2 linked regions of the Drosophila melanogaster genome follow. The protein of the gene in region 1 interacts with the protein of each later gene in a pairwise test. Each region holds a gene or a part of one and is shown on either strand. Other genes may lie near its edges.

What was found.
Region 2: the proteins of CG13708 (region 1) and CG8924 interact in a two-hybrid assay, tested with the Drosophila melanogaster proteins (one large-scale study listed by BioGRID).

The regions. Positions count from the first base shown.
Region 1 is NT_037436.4:4,828,313-4,835,542, forward strand, and holds CG13708 (uncharacterized protein), read right to left. Parts: upstream 5,280-7,230; 5' UTR 5,260-5,279; intron 5,194-5,259; 5' UTR 4,763-5,193; coding exon 3,943-4,762; intron 3,866-3,942; coding exon 780-3,865; downstream 1-779. Other genes in the region: LeuRS-m (Leucyl-tRNA synthetase, mitochondrial), read left to right, coding at 1-416.
Region 2 is NC_004354.4:15,939,138-15,945,236, reverse strand, and holds CG8924 (uncharacterized protein), read right to left. Parts: upstream 4,161-6,099; 5' UTR 3,605-4,160; intron 2,866-3,604; 5' UTR 2,786-2,865; coding exon 1,947-2,785; intron 1,888-1,946; coding exon 1,182-1,887; 3' UTR 788-1,181; downstream 1-787. Other genes in the region: Rrp47 (ribosomal RNA processing 47), read right to left, coding at 1-181.

The sequences.
Region 1 (7,230 bases):
TCGCGCCAATGGCTCCGCACTTTGCCTCCGAACTGTGGTCAAAGTTTGTGGCGATACCAGGCAGGCTAAATCCCGCCAGTCAGGAGTTACAGTGGAGCGAAGATGTGCTTGCTCAGCGCTGGCCAGACATCGACCCCGCCTACAATCTGGACCTTAGCATTAAAGTCAATGGATTTGAGAACTGTGTAATCAAAGTGCAGAGAACGCATCTGGATAAGGTAACGCACAGTGATGCTCTCGACATTGCCTTCAACACCGAATCGGTGACATCGTACCTAATTGACAAGAAAATTCGCACCACCAATTTTGTGCTTTACCCGGGAATCGAGGCTATTCTGAATATCTATGTGGATAAGGCGAAAATGAAGCAAAAGCCGCCGACCACCGATGATGCAGAAGCTCAGCCTCAGGCGTAGGATAAGGAAAAAGTATCGTGAAAGTGGATAGATAAAGTTGAGTAGTAAAAGTTTGGTTGCTACTTTTTAGGATATTCTTGCGATCATAGTTCTTAAGCCGAACGGATTACGGAGGAGAGTGGGTTCAACCTGCCCAAATGCATTTCCGGTGTTGGCCAGAAAGGCGCCATCCTAGATTGGTACTTTTTAATCATGTTTAATGTTAAATATTTATAAAAATTGGACTAGTTGTAAGCAGCTGCTTTACAGGATTGGTAAATGCCTAGAATCATAGGAATATAATGGTTGCTCTACCTGTGCGCCTCTATCTAAAAGCCAGATCGACTAATAATTTCATAAATTTTCATTTGTTGGAACGGCCTCTCACTTCAACAGCTCGCACATGAGATTCCGCAGGTAGACATCTAGCTGGGCGTAATCCAGCAGCGTATTTCGGACGATATCAAGAAGCATACTTGGCCAAAGAGTTTCCAGTTTATGCAGCTTCTCCACGGCGTTGCAAGTGTTCTCCAGCAGAAGGGCAAAGTGCTGGCGACCTCGATCTCGGACACTGGGCGCCATGGCAGTGCTTCCCGCTTCCGTCCCTTGATTTATATTCATTGAGGTGGAAGTTCCTGCTCCACCACCAGCGTTCTTCTTCCACTGGAGTGCCTCTTTTCCCACCACGAGTCGCAGGGACTTGTTGTCCGGCCGTAGGAGCCACTCTTTAGGAGACAGTTTGCTGGCCGTGCAGGTTTCATCCAGACGCAGTCTCGCCAAAAGCGGTTGCAGCATTACCTCGGGCATGGACCACAGAACCAGGTCAGAGAGTCCAACGTACATGGCATTCGCAGCCTCCACTTCCGCTTCGGTTACCTCCTGACCATTTAGCTGCTTCAGTCCCCAGTGTGATAGCCTGTAGATGGCGTATGCTCGCCAGGTTTCCTTGAGCGTAATGCCATTACCCTCGGCATCGATCATCAAGCTGCTGAGCCCCTGGAGCTCCGCCAATCCATTAAGCTGACCCAAACAGGAGATGTTTGTTTCCCGGAAAACGTAGTGCTCGGCGTGAGGGAATCGCAGCTTAATCCTGCCCAGAACACATACGATGCTGTTGAAGTTAATGTAACTGAAGTTCAGCGTGTGCACGTCATTGGCCTTGGCCGGATTCCACTGCTTATCGATGAAACGGAGAGCTCCCTGGCCGTAGATGTTAAGGTACCTTCCGCATATTTCAATCAGGTAATCGCCACCTTGTTCTCTCTCCCGTTCAGCGGCGCTGGGCTTGGACACTGTTATGGCTGCGTTTGGAGTTGCAGCTGCTCCTGCAGGTGGCGCTGCTGTTGTGGAGCCTCCTGTTCCAGCTGCCGCTCCTGCTGATGATTGGTTGTTACCACTCGTTGCCGCTTTCGTTTGAGTCGCCACCAAGTTTAATCCATTGTTGGTGGCCTTTCCTCGACCCGCACTATTGGAACTGCTGCTGTTACTGGTGCTGCTGCTCACGGTTTGCGCACGCACCAGACTACCAGCCATGTACCGCTTGGAGGAAGCAGCTGCTCCTCCTCTCTGGTTAATCTGTAATCCCAATTGTGTGATGGGTGCATGACGGGAACGCTGTTTGCTGCTGGTCGGACGACTTGCATTGGAGGATGCAGTGGCGGGCACAGGCAAGGTGGAAATTATGGTTGTTGATGGTGAAGGCGACGTGGTGCCGGGCACTGGAGTGCCTGGGGCAGCTGGTGGAGTCAAGGTCAGTGCAGGCGGCGAAGGTGAGGATGACACCGGTGCTGACGGTGTCACTATGGCTACTTCAGGAGATTGGCTTGCAACTGTAACTGGCGATGATGGTGGCTTTTCCGTCAAGCCCACCTTGTTTGAGTTTTCATCAATCTGCGGAGTCTGTGGTTTATTTTTAGCGCCGCCGTCCTCATTGTCCGAGCTATAACAACTGGAGCAGGAGTCAACATTGGGTCCTAGACTAGAGGCCTCAGAGGAGGCGCCATCCTCTTCGTGTGGATTCCTTAGATCCTTCGCAATAGGCGGCAGTTTAATCAGTGCCTGGAGTTCATCCATCAGTTCCTTGGGCTGCTGCGACTCCTCGGATTCCATTTCCCCCTCCTCACCTGCCGGACCTTCGTTGGACTCATTGATCTTGGCTAGCTCGCTGGTAAGGCGGCTCTTGGGACGACCCACCACTGTCTGTTGGGAACGCAGAAGTTCCCAGTTGGTCCTGGCATTGGATATAACCTCTTCACGCCGGATGTTGTGGTAAGCCTCGGAGCTTCCAGGAGCAGCTTGAGCCTGTTCCTTGTGCTGGCGCCAAGCAAGAGCCGCCCGACGCACCTGCTCCGTGATGGGCATCTGACTAAGGGTTTGCAGCAGTGGAAGGTACGAAACCAAGAAGGATACGCAATCGCCGGCGAGAGAGACGGGATTGTTCTCGATTGTAACTTCCAGGAGGCGGGTGGCCCTGGCTATACTGGCCATATCATCAACTCTGTGCAGATCGTTGTGACATAACCAAAGCCTTTCCAGAGCCACCAGGTGCTGGAATCCATTGATCCGCCGGAGCTTGTTCCGCTTGAGGTTCAACTCCCTAAGGCAGCGCAGGCCAAGAAAATCCTGCTGATTTATCTGACGAATTTGATTTCCCGCCAGATTCAATGATTTCAGTTGCTGCAGGCAGTTGATGCGACTGCCCAGACTGGTGAGTTTATTACCATGCAGATCCAACACTCTTAGTGTATCCTTCAACGAGGACAGACCACCAATGTCCGTAATCCTGTTCTTGCCCAGCAGTAGCACCGAAAGCGAAGGTAGTCCATCCAGGTTCGCTATTCTCTCGATCTGGTTATCATAGAGATCCAGAAATACCAGCTGCTGAAAGATGCTCCCATAACTGGCACTTAAGCTCAACTGCTTGTTCTTGATGCTCAGCTGCTCTAAAGCAGAAATGCTGGTCATCACACTGGGAGACTCCTCCTCTTCACCACACCCACCGTACAGAGAGAGATTGCTATTGTGCAGGGCACTGCCCTCATCGCAGCTCTGGAGGAGATTGCTGGCGGCTCCACCCGGTGCGACCACTCCTCCGGCTCTGGTTGCCTTGAGCATTGCCCTTCGTTGGATGAGCTGTTGCTGATGCTTCATTGCCTGGAGGCTGCTGCTCACGAAGCTCTTGGATTTTTCCAATCCGTAGCGCATGCGTAACGCCGGTGGAGGCGTCAATTGTGCCTGTCCGTAGTTGTAGCCTCGCTTGGCCAACTTGGAGCGCCCTGCGGCTGTTCCTCCATTGATGGCCAATGCCTGAGTTGTCAGTGGACTGCCTGAGCCCGGACTACCGCCGGACTTGGGCGATAGGCGATGGGAATTGCCACCTGCATTGGTCATGGCACGGGTAAGTCTGCCTGGATGATGGCCACGCAGGCCAGAGCGTCCTCCCTCCTTGTTTCCATTGCCGTTGCTATATTCTAGAGGAGCAAAAGAAGAAGAATCAATTGGAGATCTAAGCGCTATTCTTTAAATTCTAAATTTCTAGGATACAAACCACCCAGCTTATTATTGTTACTCTCCCGTGGCGTGGCGACAGCAGGAGGAGGCACTGGTGGAGGCGGCGGTGTCACCTCCTTGGGTATGTGAAAAGTGTTGATCAGGTTGTGCTGCAGCGACAGCAGTCGAAGATTGGGCTCCTGCTCAAAGATGGGAATCGCAGTGAGTCCTCTCTTGTCATAGTTAATTCGATCGGGCAGCTCCTCGCGCTCCTTGGGCAATCTCTGGATCCGACAGATGCCATTTGGTTGCGGCGTAACGATGGCTCCACTAACCAGAGTTCCGCCGGTGCTGCCTACCAGGGTATTGGGCGTTACAGCCGCTGTGGCTGGGCGACAGCTATTGGAGGCCGCCGAGGAGGATGTGGACTTGGAACGCTGTCGCTGGATGCCAACGCCACGTGGTAGATTCCGTTGCTGTTGCTGCTGCTGTTGGCGGATTTGAGCTGCGGCGGCATAGCCTCGCTTCAACTGTTGCTGCTGGCCAACTTGGAGTTCCGATGGCTGTTGGATTTGCTGCTGCTGATGCTGCTGCGGCACTGGTCGCTTGGAGATGACGTTGTGGCTTAAGGTGCTATGGGAGCGACCAATAGGACGCCGGCGTAGTCTTTGATTAAAACTAGGAACGAACGGTTCGATTTTCAGCAAAGATGTTTGAGGTAAGTAGTTCTGTTGTTGTTGCAGTTGTTGTTGTTGTGGGTGCGGCAAGGGATTCGCTGCAGCCGGAGTCGCAGCAGGTGCAGGACCGGGAGCAGGGCAGGCTGCTTCCGGCGTGGGCGTTTCATCGTTGAGTATGGAGCGACCGCGGCATTTGGCCATGGAGATCAGCTGGCGGCGCCTGGCATGAGTTGCCGCCGATGTCGCTGGCTTTGTCCTTGGTGGCTCCTGGCCTTGCACCTGGACTGGCACCTGGCCCTGCCCCTGGCCCGTTGCCGTGCGTGTGGCACCTTCCACCTTCGAGTTTCATAATAGTTCGATGCGGGCAAGCGACTCCTGGAGAGCTCCGGACATAGTTACGGGGATTTGTGATGGTCCTTGCGCAGATTACACTATTTTCGTTGCATAATCTGCAATCCCTATAGAGATATACATATATAAGCAGGCAATAAAGTAAATAAATAGTAATCCTTCGATAGATGATAAATTTAAATTGAATTTAAATCATAAAAGAATTTCATGATTAAATACCAAATTGTCTGCATTCTCACAGAATTACAAGAGAACAAACCTCATATGTATAATCCAATGGGCTGAATTTAAAACCGAAAAAAGGCTATTTAATTACAACTGCCTTGCAGTAATTGAAATTTGCTCACCCAGTTCTATGTGTAAATCCCAGAAATGACGAAAACCCAGTCCTGGTTATCTAATTTGCAATTGCATTCAGCTCTCTGGTCGACGGATTATGGATTAGTTTGGTTCCTTTTGGGGACACACAAATAGATACAGTGGGAGTGCCTCGAATGGAATTGGGAGCGACTGCTCCACTTGAGCTGCTTTTCCCTTCAGTTCTCGTTGATTTTTGGTGATTTCTTTTGTCGATTGGTGTATTCAGTCTTCTGCGGTACAGAGGGTATAGATATATAGATATATAGATAAAAGGTATGGTATTTGTGTGCTCCTCGAGTGTTGTTGGTCGCCTCCGTGGCAGCTCTGAGCCAGGATTCGTGGACTCGCTGGCTCGGGCATGTGGGCCCATTTTATTAGTTTGTTTATTCGGGTTATACATTCTCGATTTTGGCCTGGCGCGGTTGCCATAGAACACTTATATGCGGTGCATTTGGAAGACAGTTGCTGTCCCTATTCCGCTCGCTTGCCATCCCACTCGCACCCGCGTGATTTGCGTTATTAGTTTGTTTATTTAAAGCTCTTTTGGGCCAATTCACCGAGGCCCAAAACAGCCCAGTCAGGCCAGGCCAGGCCAAGCTAGGCTAGGCCGACTGTCGACCCACCTGGCCAACTGACTGACAGTCGGAAAGGTGGAGCGACAGGCGGCCAGACAACTTGCACGCCCATTCGGCTTGTTGCTGCCACGACTTGCGCTTCTAAACATACCAAAACATTGGATTTCTTGGCAAAATGGCGGTACACCGCACACGAAGGAGTCCATGGGGATTCCCAATCGGAACCCATAACTTACATGATTATCCGCTAAATGCAGCTTATTTTATGGGACAGGAATTTGTTGTTCTGTATTTCAGGTCAATTAAAGAACAACAAAAGACTTGAATACGTTTCAATCCATTGTACATACTTGGACCTTATAAAATGCTCCGAATATTATTCCTTTAAGAACTTAATATTACTTGATACTCCGATCGATCGATCAATTTATTTAAATCGATTTAACCAAAAAATTTGTTATTATTAAAGCTGCATATAAGGTGCGCTTATCCTTTTTCAGAAAACTCGTTTAAAGCTCTGGCCCAAAAGATTTTCGCACAGCCCAGGAAATTTCCTTTCGTGGTCTGGGCCACACTTTTGTCGGTTTTTCTCGGCTAGCGCCCTCAGCATTCACCTTGGCCGTGTGCAATTGGAGGGAAAGTCGTTTGCATTAAAAACCCATTTCGTGGCTTTTCATAGCTCTTGTTGTTGTTATTGCTGCGGCCGGCTGGCTGGCTGGCTGGCTGGCTGGTTGGCTTTGTTGTTGCTGATGGAAACTGTTTTGATTTGCGTATGGCCCCAACTATCAAGCAACGACAGTGGGGCAGATACAGTGGGTCGGAGCGGGTGGAACACGCACATAATTGCCTGCCATCGTAATGGATTCACGTGCCTGCTGAGCCGCACTCGTTGTTCTGGCCGTAATGTTGTTGCGAAATATGCAAAAGTTAAGCGCCAACCGCAGGCGAGACGGAGAAAGACGATGAAAGGTGCACTGATGGAAAATGGGCATACTGGGATGCACTAGAAAAGAAAATCAATTATTTGGAAATGCACGTTCCAAGTTGCATACGTTTTAACAGAAATTAAGATTTTATTTATTGATATATTACTAAGTACATATATATTTTCCTTAATTTCCATTTAAGTAACTGTGACAAGAATTTATTTTTCCAAGTGCACACACACCTAAGCAATTAAGGAGCAAAAGAGCGAGACACAAAGAGGGATATTCGTCGCCTGGCAAATTGCCCGCTGTGCGCCAGGCGAGTGCGAAAGAGACGGGCATCTCAATCGAAGACACTGCAACAATTCGAATTTAATTGATGCCAGTCGGCGACGGCAGCAACAAAAATCGAAGAGTGTGCGTGCGCTGGCATTTATGAGCCGCGCTTTGCCGGAAA
Region 2 (6,099 bases), on another chromosome or scaffold:
TTGTGTTCAATGTGCGTTCTGCCTGTAGCGCCAGTGCCTTCTCCGTGTCGGCTTCCAGGAGTTCGATGCTGCTGTAAAAGGTTTTCAGGATGTGTTGCATGTTTTCGTCCTCTCGCAGGCTTGTGTCCAGGTAAGCGTTGCAGGGCAGTCCATTGTCGACAGCTTGATTTTCTTGAGCCATGTTCTTTAAATGGAATTAAAATCGCGTGCGAATGTTTATATCTGGCTTAGGCTTACAGTGTGACCGTTGATTGAACATGAAAAGAAATAGATTCTATGAGAAGTATTCAAAAAGCGCCGTTTCCACTTCAACATTCTGCGCCTGCACTGTGCTAATCTACATACATATGTACAAATATAAAAAAAAAATGATTGACAGTAACAGTACAAATTTCAAATAATAAATTTAGCAAAAAAAAAATTGTTGTTACTTTGAATGCATTTAAACTTTTATTGCCCAATCATCTCGTACACAGTACTTATGTATTTAATAATACTTTCACAACGTAATTTATTATTGGGATTCTTGCATTTATGGCCAATTGTTATAATGACCAAAAAAAATAAGCAAACAAACAAACCGAGTAATTGTAAGCAAGTATTGAAGATTTGCGTATTCTTGTAGGAAAAGTACATGGTTTTAAAATAGATCGGATGTATTTGACCAATAATAATTACTTTACATTATTATTTAGTTTAAGCTGTTAGCATTATGATTATGTCTTTTACGACCTTCGAGTTTATTATAAATTTTCATCTTATCTTTGCAATCACACGAATACCCAGTAAAAGTTTCCAGGTCGATTTTATTTATCTTATTAACAATACAGTAATTCCTTAAAGTACTGGGGCGACAAGAAACATAATTGAAATTTTTACGCAAGTTTTTAGTCATAATCCTTGTTGATAGCATACATCTACTGTAATTTCTTATGATTGCCAAAGTAAAATGAATAATGATTGAACGGCAAGAGTTTTTCAACCAAGGATAAAACTGTGGCATCTCCAAAGCGTAATTAAGTAAACCTATGTATAAATTGTATTTTGTTGACTATGTTATGACTAAAGATCCCACACGAGCCGATGCGTACCCCGAAATGAAAGAAAGCAGCTACTGCTTGGAAATCCCTCTCTATTAATACACGCCCTACTAGTACAGCACAACTTGGCAAATTGCGTGGTTAGATCATGTGCAGCTTCTGATCGTTGAGTTTGAATGCCGCCGCATCGCTATGGAGGTGAAAAGGCACAATATCACCTGTTGTGGCCATATCAAATGATGGTGACATAGACGTTGCCGTTGCAGTTGCCGGACTATTGCTGCCACTGGTATTTGCGATGCCCGCCTTGAGATGTAGGCTGTCCATGGACATTTGCTGAGACTGCGTGTGAGGAAGGGGATTGGTGTGGATATGCGGATGGGCTGGGGGATGAGTTATGCTCGCTGGGACGGTTGAGAGTTTTCCTGAGTTTGTTGTGATTATTATGTTTCCGGCATGGGAAGCACCACGTCCACGTTTCCGCTTCGGAAGAATTCCTTTTCGCGCCATATAGAAACGAATGGTTGAGACAGGAATATTGAACATATTGCTGACAGTTTGGAATGTCTCGCCCTTCGAAACACATTTGGCCGCTTGTGCTAGAGATGCTTCTGAACGTCGAACGCGCTTATATGAAGTATAACCATCGATCGAGCTATGGCTCAGTCCTCCGGAAGTATTGGCCGATGTATCGAGATCAGTGTCAAGGCTGAGGGATAGCCCGGATCCGCATGGCACTCCTGTCGCAAAACTGCTGTCATTGTTTTCATCATGAGCGGCCACATAGTTGTGGTCGTCCTCAACATTTGAATCCAAGTATTGCTGCTGCTGAAGCTGCATTTGCATCCTGTGAAAAGATATATATATTTATCCAGAGATACTTGTCATATTAATGCAAAAACAAACCTCGCCTGCTGCAGGGATAGGTGGACATTCATTTTGTTGTCAACGGCTTGCGCAGATATATTGCAATCATCGAATTGCTCCCCGTAGGCATTCCAATTGTTCGGCACCTCGTCGCCGGAGTCATCCTCGGTTGGTGCATTCGAGTGGCTGCCCAAAACGTTCGTAGAGGTGGCCTTAGATGGCTGTTGAGCATTACTGCCATTTATCTGGGGTCGCTGCTGCACCTGCTGCTGCTGCTGCTGTTGCTGCTGCTGCCGAGCATCGGGATTCTGGCGCTTCAATACTGTGGGTTGCTGATGGTTAACCGGTAGCGGTGGAGCGGAGGAGGTGGTCATTGTTGTTGAGGTGGTTGAATTAGTGGCTGCATCGTCCGTTTCCGCGCTGTCCACATGCTTGAAGCTTCGCGCTGTGGTTGCAGCTGGATCCTTAGCAGCCTCGAGACTCGCCTGCTGGAGTTTCTTGTAGTTTATCGGTGCCTCAGAGCCGTATAGACCGCGAATCTGCAGTTGTTCGGCACAGCGAAGCAACTGGCCAAGACCGGCTTGCGTGACATTGACCTCTCCCTTGTACATGAAGTCCACAAGCGCCTGGATCTCCCATAGCTTGATCTCCCTGGGCAATATGATGACCGGGTGCTTGCAAGGATGCTCCGCTAGTATTGCCTCAAAGTAGGTGGAACAAGCGGCCAACACCAGACGATGGCAGTGCACCTGTTGGCCTTCGCATGCGAGTGTTACATCCACGAATCTCTGGCCTGCTAGCAGCTGCGGAAAAGCAGCTCCAATGCTGCCCAAATGGCTGTTCCAGCGTACACAAAATTCCTGTGTAGCGCCGCTCATCGTACTCAAAATATAGTTCGCGCCTTTACTGTGCTCCTGAGTTTACGAAGCTATCGCTCATTTAAAGATCCTTGTATATCCTGCAATAGAGTGTTGGTAAATTCCAGGATAAATTATAACTATCGTCAATAGACAATAATTCGAATATATCATAAATTCGACTCTCTTGAATGAACTAAGAATAAGGATCAAGTAATTTGACCGAATCTTTCTCGTGACATCATAATTCTAGTAGGTTTCCCTTAAAAATATTGTATTGCATATTAAGTATATATATTATATGAACTCCTTTTGTTTGATTTTTGATATATGAAAAAAAAAGATACTTCTTTTTTTTGCATTGCATTAATATTTGCATTTCATTTAATAATGGATTAAAAGAAAGAATATTTTAGCCAAATATATGAGTTTAAAAATAGCATTGTCCCTTTTCCACTTTTTTGTATTGTTTTTGCATGACAGTTACGTTATTCCTAAGTTTTTATTTGCTTTCTTTTTAGCAGTTGACCACTGTATATACATACATACATACAAACACACGAGCGTACATACAGGTGCAGAGGTATATGCTTATTTACATTTGATAATCGTCCAAATAAATAATGTCCTCAGTGTGAAACTGAGGAGAAGACCATGCGAATTTTCACTTGCCATGTTTTATGTACCCACATACATACGCACGCTTGCATAAATACATATGTACACCTCCACTAGCGATTTGCACAATTGGAATTACTTCTATATTTAGTAATAAGGATGTAAACAGTTGAATGTACGCGTTATATACATGTACGCATCCCTGCGAATCTGAATACATACCTGTTTGTTTGCCAAGGAACCGAAACTTCGCTGATTATAGTTCTTTACTTCTCGTTTTTTGGGCGCTATGTAACACAATAGATGCGATGGCGTGAAAACGAACGAGAATTTTATGTTAGGACTGTATGTCCTGTGCGCGTGAGCTATGTATGAATGTATCAGCGCCGGAGTCTTGTTTAAAAATACACACTATTCTTGCATCAAATCGTGCACAACACAAAAAAATATGTACATTTCAGGCATTAACCAATGTCTCTATTTACAATCCCTCATCGTTGTCCGTGAGTCCCATTCAATTCGTTGCTTTATTAATGTTTATTTTAACCAGAAATGCTGCATGCGCGCGATTATATTTCCTTTTTTTATGTACAACTGTTTGTTTTGACAGACTATAAACAAATAAACGGCAAATTAAAGTGCCAAATCGATTTGCACGTTATGCGCTGAGTATCTGCCTTTTTTAACTCTGCCTTCAAGCTATATTTAAATTATAAACTTAATATTGTCTTTCGCGCTGTCTGCTTCTGTAGCAATCAATTGTTATTTAAACTACGCGTTAGGCATAATTGCTGGGAATTGCAAGCGTTTCATAAACGCGTTTCTGAGTAAATGATTCTCATGTACCGGGCTTTTTTTATATTAAAGTTTGTTGTTAATTTTTCAGTTACTTAATGCATGCAATCGATAAAATTTTTTTTAGCTGAATTATCGCGGAAACAAAACTATTTATATTGAAATATTAAAATATAGATAGGGATCGGTGGGATAACAGGTTTCATATGCGAAAAAATTCCAGTCGTTCCGCTTTTATATCCACTAAGCGAAAATTGCCGAACGCAAGCATATCGATCTTTAAATGTGAAAAAGCCAACCATAAGCTAACAGGATAAATATTAAATAATAGAATAGAAAATACAAATCAATATTTGAGGTAAGGCCGTTACAGGATATTTTTGAAGAATTATCGGTAATTATCGAAATGCCCTAAAAAGTGGAAACAGTGTATTAACGGATACTTTACAATGTATGTATCACTATTATACGTTGCATATATTTCTTCTATTGTCCTTTTGCTAATATATTATGTTGCATACAAAAACTTTAACCTATTCGGCAAAATATACAATAGCTCTTACATGACAAGTGTTTGCAGCTTAAAATTTGAAGTGTACATTTTTCGCTTTCAGTCGACTGGTCACACCGTTCAACCCAAACTGACTCGGGAATTTTAGGGTGAGTGCTTTTATTTTTATTTGAGGTCTAAAAAAAACTTATGGAAGTTTACCATTGGGCATCCGCATATGTGTGGTTATTAAGTGCTTGGCTTTGACATTGTAAATTGTGCAGTCATAACGCAGCCGGATCCAACCAGACATTGTTGAAATTCCCAGTTTTCTGCGTTTTTAGAAGTAAACAAATGCTGATGCCTTCCACAACTTACATATCTACATTCGTATATAGTATCAATGTCTAATATTAAAAAATATTGTAAAAAAATGAAGAAAACAGTTACACAGTAAGGTTTGCATATGATTTTGAATCCATTTACTGCTGCCATCTAAATGTACCGTTATGTGCTGTCTTTGCAACGATATCTGTAGGAATTCATTGTATTTTACGCATTTATTTGTTTCAAATTGGAGATCAAAAACTATCCCAAATGTATTGTAACTACACAGATGTAAAACGCACATTGGTATAATATAATAGATCAGAATGATAGTATAAGTCTAGTTAGGTGTCGAAAATGTTTTGCTACAGCATCCGCAGCTAAACTTACACTAGTTAACAAAAACGCAAATCCAAATCTAAAATAACTGCCCAAAAATTAATTTTATGTTGGCGAACCGAAAACTCAACCATTTTATTACTCATGCCGTTTCCCTAATATTTGCATTTCTCAGTAAATTTGCGCTCAGGCGGTTATCTTTAAAGACCCCTAAAACTGAATCTCATTGACAAATAAAAGCCTCGTAAGTCTGTGCCCAGTAAATCTTTATTTATTGGCCAATGCAATAATACTTTCGCACACAGTTGGATTTGCTTGATTATTTAATCAATTTTCTTTACGTACTATACGCTTCGGTCACTATGGAATTTAATAGAATATGGAATATGCGTTATAAAGTCGAGAGAAAAGGTTCCAGATGTAAAGATCCATTGACAAAGATTGCAATATAACAATAAAAAGCTTGTTAACTTGTTAAGAGGATCCCTGAAATATACCATAATTACTCCCGAAACTGCATGCTGATTAGAAATACATATATATACTTTACAGGGCAAAAAAAGCTTACTCTTTGCGTATTACTCAGCCCCATATTACTAAGTTTTTAAGTTGAGATCTAGATCTGCCACATTTCTGACATCTCTGTTTCATATATCATTGCAGGATATCATCAGTTGAAAACTATGACTTTCGCGAGCAACAAATTTGATTTGTAAACTTATAAGAAACCGAGCCGATTTACCGATTTAAAGGAGACATATGCGAT